Cricetulus griseus: one gene and its partner. The protein of the gene in region 1 purifies or fractionates together with the protein of each later gene. This does not show direct contact. Links are inferred from orthologs where the notes say so. Each region holds a gene or a part of one and is shown on either strand. Other genes may lie near its edges. The genes, in order: Rab27b and Sytl4.

Region 1 (6,209 bases):
ATGTAGCTTTTGTTCTACTTTGCGGAGGATTAATTTCTTTGCTGTTCACTCTTGCTATAAGCAGAGTCAAAGGGTCTGTGTTCAGCTCCTGGTAAGCCACTCATGACTTTACTTGTATTCTCCGGAAGACTGGAGGCTGGAAGAAGCGGATGAAGGAACTTGATTGATTACATAACAGTGGGTAGGAACTTCAGGTACAACCATTCTGTGTCTCTAACTAAACCCAATACTCCACCACTTGTCACCAGTCTGTGCCAGTATTTCTGCCTTAAAAACGCTCAGTCTGCTGGGTTTTGTGGGGGAGAAGAGCTAATAACCCTATGTCCTTAACTCTGTGACAGACAGGCACCTGTAAACTGCTTCTCTAAGTCAATACCTGCCTCCAACTGGTTTAACGTCTTTAAAAGATTCCATCACAAATTATTTTATCTGGTGAGGTCGCTTGTCTTTTTTATTTCCTTTTATGGTTTAAAATTTATTTTTAGAAGTTCAGAATTGATTTTGTTTTGTGTGTGTATGTTCAAGGAATTTGAGGAGGATGAAAGGAGGATGAAACACAGATGATGAATTTGCCATTTCATCTAGAAGTTTCCCAATTACAATGGTATCTGCATATACATTAGAGCTGCTTCGAAGAATGAGACAAAAATTTTATCTGTTTAATTTGTGCCACATATACATACCCCAGGCACAAAAGAGCCTTTAAAATCCTTACCTTCAAACTTTTTTTTTTCTGGTAGAAGAGTCAAGACAATGTTTATGAGTCAAGTGATATTGGAGCTCAAGAAGTTGGCTCAGTTTTTATGAGCTCTTATCACTCTTTCTGCGGACCTGGGCAGGCTTTGGTTCCCAGCACCTGTTGCTTGTGCTTCTCCACTGCTTCATCCCCAAATGAGCACACAGATGCTATATGAATGATAAAACTGTTGGCCGATGGCTAGGGCTTCTTATTGGCTAGCTCTGTCTTAAATATTAACTCATAACTACTTATCTATGTATTTCTACATGGCCTGACGTGTCCTATCTTCCATCTCTACATGATGTCTCTTTGCCCACCCTCTCTGCCTACCTCTCCCAGAATTCTCCTTGTTGCCCAGCTCCGCCTATCTTCCTGCCTCTATTGGCCAAACAGTGTTTTATTCATCAACCAATAAGAGAAACTTATATACAGAATGCCATCCCCCCATCAAGCACCCACAGGAGGCCTGCCTCTGCCTCTGCCTCCCGAATGCTGAGATTAAAGGCATGAGCCACCAATGCCCAGCGGCCCTGTTATTTTTATCTTCAAGAAAAGCACATCTTTGTGCTTGGCCTGTGATTTGGGCATTCCACAAGAAATGCTTCCTAGCAGATCTTAGCAGTTCTTTAAACTCTGAAGCATCGATCAGGGATGAGTTAAATTAAAACTTCCTAACTCTACCATGAGTATAAGCAACAGGTTTGGAACTATTTTATTTGTGAAGGAATACGTCAAATACCATTAGATGTATTCAATCTTGTATTCTTACCTTGAGTCTGTATTTCGGGATGTCAGAGTATGTCGAAAATGCAATGCACAGGATCTTCACTTAATGGGAAAATCCAAAGCGTTTATCTAGTATAGAACTTGCCACATACTATGAACTTAGTAAATACTAGTTTAGTGACCGTGTTTATCATTTTATTTAGCAGTAATCCATTAGCCCCCAAATGGCTTTAGGAAGGAAGCATCCCGTGGTGTGGACTGTGCATTCTTATGTACGTGCCCTAACTTTAGAAATGCGGTTTCCTTCCAGTCCCCAGTCTGATCCAATGCTTTTCTCTGCTCTCTACCTGGAAGCCCTTGCTCTAGGAGGCTGCCCACCCACCCCACCCCCCCCCCGGGTGTAGGCAAGCTGTATATGAAAGCTGGTCTCCCCACACTGCCTCAGGCTCTTTGAAAGAGGTGTCAGCGCAAAGCCAGAAAAATAAGTCAATGAAAACGAGCTGGCCGCTAGGACATGCACCCCCACAGCGTGGAGAATCCAGCGGCAGCCAAGTGTGTTTCTTATTGCAGCGGTTGAGTCACCAGACAGACTGGCCCGAGGTGAGCCAGGCACATCCGCGTTAGGACTCAGAGACACGCCTTCTTCTCACACAAACCTTCCTGATCCCAGCCGCCTAGGCGGACTCCCGGGTGGTGCTACCAGCCCTGCCACTCGCAGCCCGGACAGGCAGAGGTTGGGGACTGCCTGGCGTTGCACCGATCGAGAGCCACAGGTTGCAAACGCAGGGAGCTGTGCCCATGACAGTGGCGCTGTGAAGCTGCTGGTGAGCAGTGGCTGCTGGTGGGTACCAGAGCTCGGGAAGACAGGAGCGGCCCTGAAACCCGACACCAGCGCCCTCGCTGTGGCTGTTTCCCGGGCTGGTGAGTTGGGGAAGGCGGGCTGTCGGCTGGAATTCAGTCCCACCCACTCTGGGTGCCCGCGGGCTTCAGGGAAGGGGAACCCCAGAGGGTGCAGGCCCCAAGCTCGAAGCCTTCCATCTGTTACCTGCAGAAAGCTGAGCTAGCCAGCCCTTGGGGCTGCTGCTGCTGCTCAGATAGCCCCAGAAAACTCCATCTACCCTCTTTGCTTTGCTGTGTGCCTTTCCTACAGCTGAGTAGAACAAAAACCAAACCCAAACAAGAACACTGGACAGAGGCATGCCCATCCGTATTTTTTAAAAAAGAAAACAAAAACGATTATTATCAGCAAGAAGAGTGACATGCAGAGAGAAAGGACGGAGGGAGGCTGTCCAGGCAAGAGACAGGACTTGTCTTGGCACTTCCCTAAGATGAATCAGCCACAGAAAGTGAAGAGTGTTTTTTGTGTTCCATTCCAGCGTTTGCCCCATTACTTCCGAATTCTGATCAAAGTTTTGCATCTAGGGAGTGAGTGTGGGGAGTGAGTGTTACTGCCAGTGGCACCAACACAACCATATTCAAGATTTTCCTCACTGCAACATTATCTTAGCAAGCCTCTGGAAATCATTGACTCGGGTGAGGTGTAAGTAGTGATGGCCTTCCTAGGAAAAAGCTATGTTTGGTCAAAGCCTGCACACCTGTAACGTGTTGGCCAGTTATCTAAAACTAAGGCTGTGGGGCTCACGTTTAAATGGATTGCATGTAGTTTCAGGGTTAATAGCAAAGACATGGGTTTTGGTTTGAATAGGCTTAAGTGAATACCCACAGTTCTCAATATTTAGTTGGTATTCATACTTACATGTGCATACAATGTACTGATTAATGGTTGTAACTTTCGAAATGTAGCAAAGGCAGACATCGGTATTATTGTAAGCAGATAAGTTCACTGGATTTTTAAGTACTGTGAAGTTCAGTTTGTAGTTATAAAATGGAGAGAAGTACTTTTCGGATGCTATCCTGCCCACTCCCATAGCAAGTTTTCAGAGTTTCCAAAGGTAATTCCTTACCTACTATTCTTACCAGCAGGAACTTCTACGGATCACCACAAAGTGTATTGCTTGCCAGATAGTCTAACATTAAGGAGACCTCTCTGATTAAGGACTGACTATGAACTCCCATGATCTCTTACTATCTTTGCTCCTGAATGAAAAACAAAACATTTCAGATTAAACTGGATAAGCCTGTTCTCATCTTTGCCAAGTGGCAATAAAAAGAATGTCAAATGCAAGCAAACCACAGTTCTCCCTACCCATAGGTCATTTATAGAACAGGCATATTTGACCTGATAAGGAAGGTAACCCTGAGAAAGTGATCCTCTTAACTCATGGTGTACCACATTGTAATTACTTCTGTCTTCCGGTTTCAGGTTGGGCATTCATAAATATTCCTCTAGAAACATGAATGTCAAAGTCCCATGTGGTTCACAGCTGGAATCTGCTGATTTCCCCCATTCTTACAAAGTTGGAGTTTGGCTTTCAACCTAGATCAGTGGTTCTCAACCTTCTGAATGCTAAAACCCTTAAATACAGTTCCTCATGCTATAGTGACCCCCAACTATAAAATTATTTTCTTTGATACTTCATACCTGCAATTTTGCTATTGTTGTAAACCATAATATAGATATCTGTGTTTTCTAATGGTCTTAGGCAACCCCTGTGAAAGGGTCATTTGATCCCCAGAGAGGTTGTGATCCACAGGTTGAGAAACGCTGACCTAGTACAGCAAGGAAGGCACACCGGCTATTCATCTAAAGCTCATCTCAGGATGAGTCTAGTTTCTTATGTTGATTCATCAAGGCTGGTTAACCAATAGTTCAGCTCTGAAGCAATTACTTGTAATGCTGAGATGCAGAACAGTTCCAATAAAAAGAGACAGGGCAAACCAGATGTTTGCCATGAATTATTTGTAGAGATGCCTAGCAAAGGATTGGCTTTCTGCATGGTTAGGTGTATAAGGTATGGAATGGATGTTCTGTAGATACAGGAAGTGACAGCATCACTGGATGGACCTGTTCTTAGCACTATATACTTGGCTGGTTTCAGGCCCTTTTCAGTCATTACTGCTGGCCCTCAAGTGTTGAGCTTCTCTCCTCAGCCCTCCTTAAATAAGCAAAGGACTAGTGTGTAAGAGCTTTCTGGTTTATAAATGATTAAAAGAATCATTTCATAAATTCAGTATTTTAACTTGTGCAATATCTTGAGAAAAGAAAACAATATATCCAGTTGCTTGTTCACGTATTTGACAAATATTTCTAAATAGCATCAAGTGCTGTTACAGGCTCTGTAGGCAAACATGAACAAAATAAGAAGACATCCCTAACCTTGTGCACCTTACTATTTATTCCCGACATCCCTAACCCTGGGGACAAAGAGTTGACAAGAGGAACAGGTTACCTCAATGACACATGACTCACGGGTGCTAAAGAGAAATAGAGTACAGGGCAAAAGAGAGCTATTCTGTAAGTTTCGGTAGTGTCAGGGTGGGGGCGGGTGTGCCAGGCTGCAGAATAAGTGCTAGGGCAAGTGATACTGAGAAGCTATTTCAATGTCTGTGTGGAACAGGTGAGGAAGTGAACCATTGGAGACTATTCCAAACTGAACAACTAGGGAGCTAGGATTTGCCAGTGATGTTCCCTAGCTCTAAAAGGGTCAGGTCAGAGAGAGCTTTGAAGGTGTTAATAAATAGTAGGCTTTGGGTTTTCACTCAAATGAGTGAATGAGAAAAAGCTATACTAAATAGTCTATGAAACATTCTCCAACAAATCTTTGCCTAGCATTATAAACATTAATATTCTTCTAAGCACCAAGGATAAGAGATGCTAAAAAGATAAAAGGACACTGCTATATACACATTACATCCTAGGGTGAAGAGAGAGAGATGGGAACAAATTAATAATCCTACAAGGCTTAATATTATTAAATAAAGCACGGTAATGGGTAAAAATAATGACACTGGTCAGGAGAAACCTTGGGGAGAGACATATTTTATTGTAATATAATATGGTATGTTTACAGTTGTCTCTCTTTGTGAGTGGCTTCTATATCCATGTGTTCCACTATCTTTGAATGAATAAAAATATTTGAAGCTAAATTTCATCTGTATGGAGCATGTACATGACATTTCTCATCATGGTTTCCTGGGAAATCTACTGTAACAGTTATTTACACATCCTTCACACTATGTTGATTATGACTATTCCAAAGATACCTGAGATATAGATTTAAAATATGTAATGCTTGTGCATGTTCGGTACTAATACTACGTGATTGTATACAATTGTATATAAAGATTGATGCTTCTATTCATGTAGGTATTCTTAGGGGCCTTTAAATCAGTACCCTGTAGAAGCAGTGGAAAACTATGCATGTGAACTGATAAAATTGAAACATTTTCCATGCTCATCTCTTCAAAAACTTATGACTTTGTTTTGGGAGAATTGTATATATAATAAGATGATTTTTTAAGCTGTCTCACTGGCTTCCTTGAAGACAATGGCTGAAATCTGACTACAAAAGAAGAAAGGACAGAGGATAAGGCTACTCTAATTGACGAGACATGGCAGAAATATAGATGAACATTGGAACTGCAGTCTCTGATAAAAGCAGATCCATTCAAAAAGTATTTAAAAGTGGAGCTGATTGGACTTACTAATAAACCAGTTAAATAGTAAGGATCACAGAAAGAAAGATTGAAAATGAGCATCAGAATGCATAAAGAACAGCTTAGGTAGATGACAACTGTAGTGATGGATAAAGAAAAGATTTAAGAGGGAGGTGAAGGCCCTGTT
Region 2 (6,176 bases), on another chromosome or scaffold:
ACCACATATTTAAACCCATCCTTGGTGGAACATAGGCCAGAGCATGACTAACATATTCATTTTCTCTCCAGGTTACAGGAAGTAGATAATCTAGTGGAAGTAGTGGGGAACCTGCATCCTCACATTCAAAGGAGGGCTTGTGTGCACTGGGACCTGGGTGTTGGCTTGCCATCCTGGGCTAGGCCTGTGGTAGGGGCAAGGGGAATTTAGACGTATTCCCAGATTAAGTAGGTGTTGATAACTCCCCACCCTCTGCCAGATACCTCCTTCCCATGAGGAACAAGGCCAGTAAGCGTAAAACTCCTGTGATGAAGAAGACCCTGAATCCCCACTACAACCATACATTTGTCTACAATGGTGTGAGGCTGGAAGATCTACAACACATGTGCCTGGAACTGACTGTATGGGACCGGGAGCCCCTGGCCAGCAATGACTTCCTGGGAGGGGTCAGGCTGGGTGTTGGCACTGGTGAGACTCTCTTCCATCCGATCATCACATGTCTCAAAGGCCTTTTGTCTATCTTACTCTTCCTACCTCTTACCTTCCATGAGATATGAAGATCTTTTCTGACAGAAATTCTCTTCCTTTATGAAAACATCCAACAAGTACTTACTGAGTACCTGCTGCCTGCTAAGCCTAAGGGAAGGCTGAACTCATATAGTATTCTATGTATAGAAAGATGACCCTGAAGGCCAGGAACATCATCATCTTCCCACAAAAGAAGATCTAAAAGCTACCTAAACCCCTGACTTGTGATTCTTATCTTCTATCTTGGTGTAGTGAGAAGGGTCCTTTGCCAGCAAATCCTTATTATCCAAGGATTCTGACTTACTCCTCGCTTCTCAGTGGTTCTTTGTTTATAGTCTATATTTCTTCTGTATGATCGATTCCATTTGATTTGGCTATAGAAGGGGAGTATACACGTGCTCTGGTGAGACCAACCTCTCTCTCTCTCTCTCTCTCTCTCTCTGTCTGTCTCTCTCTCTCTCTGTCTGTCTCTCTCTCTCTCTCTCTCCAGGGTCTCATGGAGCCCAGATTGGCTTCAAACTCCTGATACTTATTTACTTATTACCTCTATGTCTCAAGTGCTCAGATAGTACATATGCACCAACATGCTCAGGCCTAATTTTGTTAAATAAAAGGTAAATCTTCCATTGGCCACTCCCCCCAGGACTCTAAAAAGAGTTTCCTGGCCTTTCCTGCAATTCTCAGTCCATTGTGATATGGCTGCTATTCTTCTACTCTTCTGAGTCATTATTCCTGCCAAACTGAGGTTTTTGTCTCTCTCTATAATTCCCAAGAACTATTTAATAGAGCAGATTACTCCCATTATCTTAAAAGTCTTACCACTTATTGCCTTCTTGACTCCCTGTGATTCCATTACACACCATTTCTAAATTTCCTTCATGGACTCTTCATTCTGCACTTCTGTATTCAAACTTTGAATGATGCTGATCTCTGGGCTTGGGCTTAGATGCTCTTTTTCCCCCTCTTTTTATAGTATTGATCAGGCCCATCCAACCTTTTGACATTGTGATATCATGGCATTTTCAAGTACAGTATTTATACTCAGGAACTGTGCAATCCAGTTACCAAGAAGTCACAGAAAGTAAAAAGAACTTCATTGTTTTAATTAGTTATTATTTTGTGTTGGGCCACATTCATAGCTATCCTCAGCTCCATGCAGCTCTGCTTGGACATATTTGCTAGATTCATTCTTTTGGTCTCGATTAATAACTATATATGAATAACTAGCAGAAAACATCTCTAATATTTTTGCACATGTAAGCTACTTCATGTCGGCTCCCTGTGTAAAATAATTTGGTAGCTTTCACCCACCTCAGGAATTCTTATTAAGTCTGCAGACCTCACGTAATCTGGACTCTTCCTTTCTTATTCTTCCTGTATCATTTTCTCACTCACTCATTGTGTTCCAATCACCGTAATTCTTACTTTGCTCTCCAAATATGCCAGGTTACATCCTACATTGAGACTTTATGATTGTCTTTCCTATTCACATGTAAGCTGCCTAAGGGCAGGGACATTTTTTGGTGTGTTCATCACTGCTTCCACAAACTGGCATAGGGTAGGCACTCAGGAAATGTTCATTGAATGAATGAATTACTATACAAAAAAGTAAGGAGTAAGATCACATAATCCTAACTTTGGTCCCAGTATTTACAGCTATAGAAAAAAGTATTCAGAGCTTGGGCATGGTTATGCATGCCTCTGGACTCAGCACTTGGCAGGCAGAGGCAGGAAGATTGCCACAAGTTCAAGGTCAGCCAGGATTCCAGTGTGAAATCCTGTCTCTAATAACATAAAAAGAGAGAATTTGAAAAATGTTAAGGCCTTATGTGTACTCTAGTTATTAACCAGTCCATTGCCTTTTTACTGTATATGCAATAAACTATTCTCTAAAAAATTAAGTTAAATTGCTAATGACAGAAGGGTAGCAGTTCTCGCATGGGGTGTCAGACACCAGAGCTCTGAAAAAGCCACTAAAAATAAGCCCCAATTGACATTATGCCATTTCAAGTCCCATTTCATCAACCTTCAGTCTCCTGATTATCTCTGGGGCACAAGTATTTGTAGACTCAGCTTGCCAGCTTGCTGTCCACAGCATTCTGTCTTCACTGTACATTGTTGTTTCTGGGCTGACCTTCTTCACTATATAACCCATCCTCCCTGATGGGCTAGTGGTAGGACTCTGTTCAGCCTCCTCTGGTGTTTCTCCTCAGGGATCAGTAATGGCGAAGTGGTGGACTGGATGGATTCGACTGGTGAAGAAGTGAGCCTGTGGCAGAAGATGCAACAGTACCCAGGGTCTTGGGCAGAAGGAACTCTGCAGCTACGTTCTTCAATGGTCAAACAGAACCTGGGTGTATGAATCCCTATCTTTATTTGCAGGTGCAACCCTGGTCAGTCCAAGTCAAAGGAAGCTAAGCAACCACAAGGAGAGATTGCTAATTTAATGTGTGTGCATGCATTTGTATTAACATATATTTCTGCAGATCTTATTTTGCTAGCTAGTGTGACACAGATGTGTTCCTCCCTTTAAAGCAGCCCAAGAATAAGGGTCTTTTCAAATGGTTTTATTTATCTATAGTCTAGTATATTTTCAGAGTACATAGTTGCCTCTACCTTTCTGTGGTTTAATTAAGTTTAGAAACCCTTTACAGCAACTCTCTACCTTCTATCTTGCTATTATTGTTCCCACTTTCCCTGGAAGTATGGCTGATTTTGTCAGTAGTTCTAGTTTGTAGGTCTAGATCAAAGGCCAAGACTCTTGGAAGCAAGGTTTGGTTGTTAAAGACAGTCCACTATGGGAGAGGGATTTATAACCAGTCCTTCCTCTCCAGTTTGTATTTTATGTCATCATCTACTTTGATATATTTTTAGAACTTGCTTTTTAGTTTTTCTTGTTTTTAGGCAATTTCCACCTTGCGTGAGTATAGTGGTTTTCTTTGAAATGCAGTGAAAATTCCCCAGCTCCTTCCTAGACCTTTGGGGAGCCCTTATAATGGAGTCATTTTAGAAAAATCACTTCAATTAGATAATGGCCTTTTCACTGAGACATTAACATGCCCTGTGAGACCTACTAGCTGATCTCAGAAGGTCTAAGTGACTCTGAATAAAGTTTTTCTCAGTCCATGCTGAGTTCTCTCTTTTTAGCTGTTACAGCACTTGTTGAAGAGGCATTTCCTTATTTCCCTAATGGAAGATGAGACATCTTCACTCTCATGTACTATAGCTTTCTCTAAGTTTGTGTCTAGGGTGTGCTGCTACATAGAACATAGTCTTTATACTTCTGTTTCAGCCAGTCTAAACCTTACAGTGCTCCCCTGGCCTGGGGCTTAATACCACCCCGTAAAAAATGTGGATGGAATCGCCCAGCTATTCTGACTTTCGACCTAATATATTTTTCAGTTCCTGTTTTTGGTTGTTTCTGAACTTGACCTATGGGTAACAGGGGAATAATGTGTTGAGATTTAAAAGAGAGACCAAGAAAGCTTTCATTTCCTGCTAGTCACTCTTCTAGACTGGACTTTTCAGTCATAGCAGTCTGTCTATACAGAGGTGTGTGTGTGTGTGGATGGTGTCTGTGCCCGAGGAGAAATCCTGTCAATGGAGCCAGCTGCGAATTGACTTTTCCTGTAAGGTCCCTGGATTGCATGCAGCTGGGGTGGTTAAGATCATATGTGTTGATTGTATAGAATGTTTTTCAAAGATCCCTTCAGTATGGATTGGTACTGTAATGGAAGTGTAACTCAAGAGTCCTGGCTCATACTTGTTCTTTGGCATTCCACCTCAACATGCATGTGTGTTTCAATAAAGCTTTATCACTTGAGTGTTTACACTTTGAGTTCTGCATATGCTTTAGTCTTTGATGCCCTGACTTATTGTTGCCACTTTCACTCATAGCTGGAAGGTCAGAACCAGAATAATAAGTGCACCTCACTATACTGGAAGAAAATCTGCCTTTTCCCATATATGTTTGGAATCTAAAAGTAGCATTACTTTTTTCCCTCTCAGGTACCCATAGAAGATGGCCCTTGGCTTTGTAGATTGTCCTTTGCTGGAAGAAGAAGGAGAGAGATATTCACACAGGCATGAGGGAACACCTTCCAGGCTACCAGCACTTTTTTCTAGATTATTCAGTTTCTCTGAGAGGTCAGGGTTTTTTCTCATTTATTCTATTATTTGGATTCCAGAGCTAAATCAAAGATGCTATACAACTCACCTTTGAAATAAGGCTCTGATTTTCTAGCTGCAGTTCAAGTGATTCTTGGCCTCTGTGCAAAAGCATAGTTGCAAAAGTCAAATGCATCCTGTATACAAGGTTTTGCATGATATTGTCTGACTCTCTCCAACACCTTATGTAGGAGGAAACCTTCCCTTCTTGCAGATCAAACACTCAGATGAGCTCCTTATTATGTGACAGAATTGGAATTTGAATCCAGGCCTGACTCTACCATGTTGCCTTCTATGAGAGTGATATCTGTTAAGGACAAATCATCAAACAAAATTATGCTTGTCTCTCCCAAAGTACCTTAGAGAACTAGGATTAATTTGCAAAGGAGGACACTAAGAATGCTTTGGATATTACTAAGCCAGCACAGTGACAACACTGTGTGTGTGTGTGTGTGTGTGTGTGTGTGTGTGAGAGAGAGAGAGAGAGAGAGAGAGAGAGAGAGAGAGAGAGAGAGAGAGAGAGAAGAAGGAGGGGAGAAGAGTGACAAAAAGAGAAGAGAACAGGTGGAGAGGGGAAGTGGAAAGGGAACTGCATAGGAAGGAATTAAATGGCGTTTGTCATGCTAGTCCCATTCGGACTGGCTATGGCCCTGAGTCCTTCTGTGTCTTTCCCCTACTTGGATTTTTTTCTTTCTTTTTTCCCAGAGACAGGGATTCTCTGTGTAATAGTCCTGGAACTCACTCTGTACACCAAGCTGGTCTTTAACTCACTGAGATCTGCCTGCCTCTGCCTCCTGAGTGCTGGGATCAAAAGCGTGCACTACCACTGCCCAGCTCTACTTGGATTTCTTAAGTCATAAGGACTACAAAGGAGGTTGTAGTAAAACCTTACCTAAAGAAGGCAAGATTGACTTGGCTACTCCAAATGACATAAAAGAAAGCCCCTAAAGTTGTTCTAAGCCTCAGTTCGCTGGACCATTTGCATTCAAGAGTAAGGCCCAGCTGGGAACTTTATGCAGGAGGTAGCAGGGCCCTGTGTTATCTTCTAGGCTGTTGACCTGCCAGCATGTCCTGGCTTGCCACTTGGAGTGCTAGGGTAAAGACATTGAGAGCATTTATCCTTCCCAATGTGTTGTCTTTGCCTTGCTCTGACCAGAAAGTTCCTACATGAACTCATTTTATTTCACCTTCTGCCTATCTATGACTTTAGCTCACTATAGCTTCTGCCTATCTTTGACTTTAGCTTTTCAAAGCTCCAGTATTTCTCTCAAGGTAAGATGAAATGAATTACCCCTCCCACTTTGATCATTTTTTTCCATATTCCACTCCAAGTAGCTCCCTCGCTTCTTGTCTTGCCTTTTTTTTGGGGGGGGGGTGTTGAGACAGGGTTTCTCTGTGTAGCTTTGGAGGCTGTCCTGGAACTAGCTCTTGTAGACCAGGTTGGTCTCGAACTCACAGAGATCCGCCTGCCTCTGCCTCCC

What was found.
Region 2: the proteins of Rab27b (region 1) and Sytl4 purify together in Homo sapiens (co-immunoprecipitation; 3 studies listed by BioGRID and IntAct, counting the BioPlex papers as one, with this or other methods). This does not show direct contact. The link is inferred for Cricetulus griseus from reciprocal best matches to the Homo sapiens genes RAB27B and SYTL4.

Annotation. Positions count from the first base shown.
Region 1 is NC_048595.1:169,442,128-169,448,336, forward strand, and holds the start of Rab27b (ras-related protein Rab-27B), read left to right. Parts: upstream 1-2,083; 5' UTR 2,084-2,386; intron 2,387-6,209. UniProt on the Homo sapiens protein: Small GTPase which cycles between active GTP-bound and inactive GDP-bound states. In its active state, binds to a variety of effector proteins to regulate homeostasis of late endocytic pathway, including endosomal positioning, maturation and secretion.
Region 2 is NC_048604.1:46,185,504-46,191,679, forward strand, and holds the end of Sytl4 (synaptotagmin-like protein 4), read left to right. Parts: intron 1-259; coding exon 260-468; intron 469-2,741; coding exon 2,742-2,890; 3' UTR 2,891-4,366; downstream 4,367-6,176. UniProt on the Homo sapiens protein: Modulates exocytosis of dense-core granules and secretion of hormones in the pancreas and the pituitary. Interacts with vesicles containing negatively charged phospholipids in a Ca(2+)-independent manner.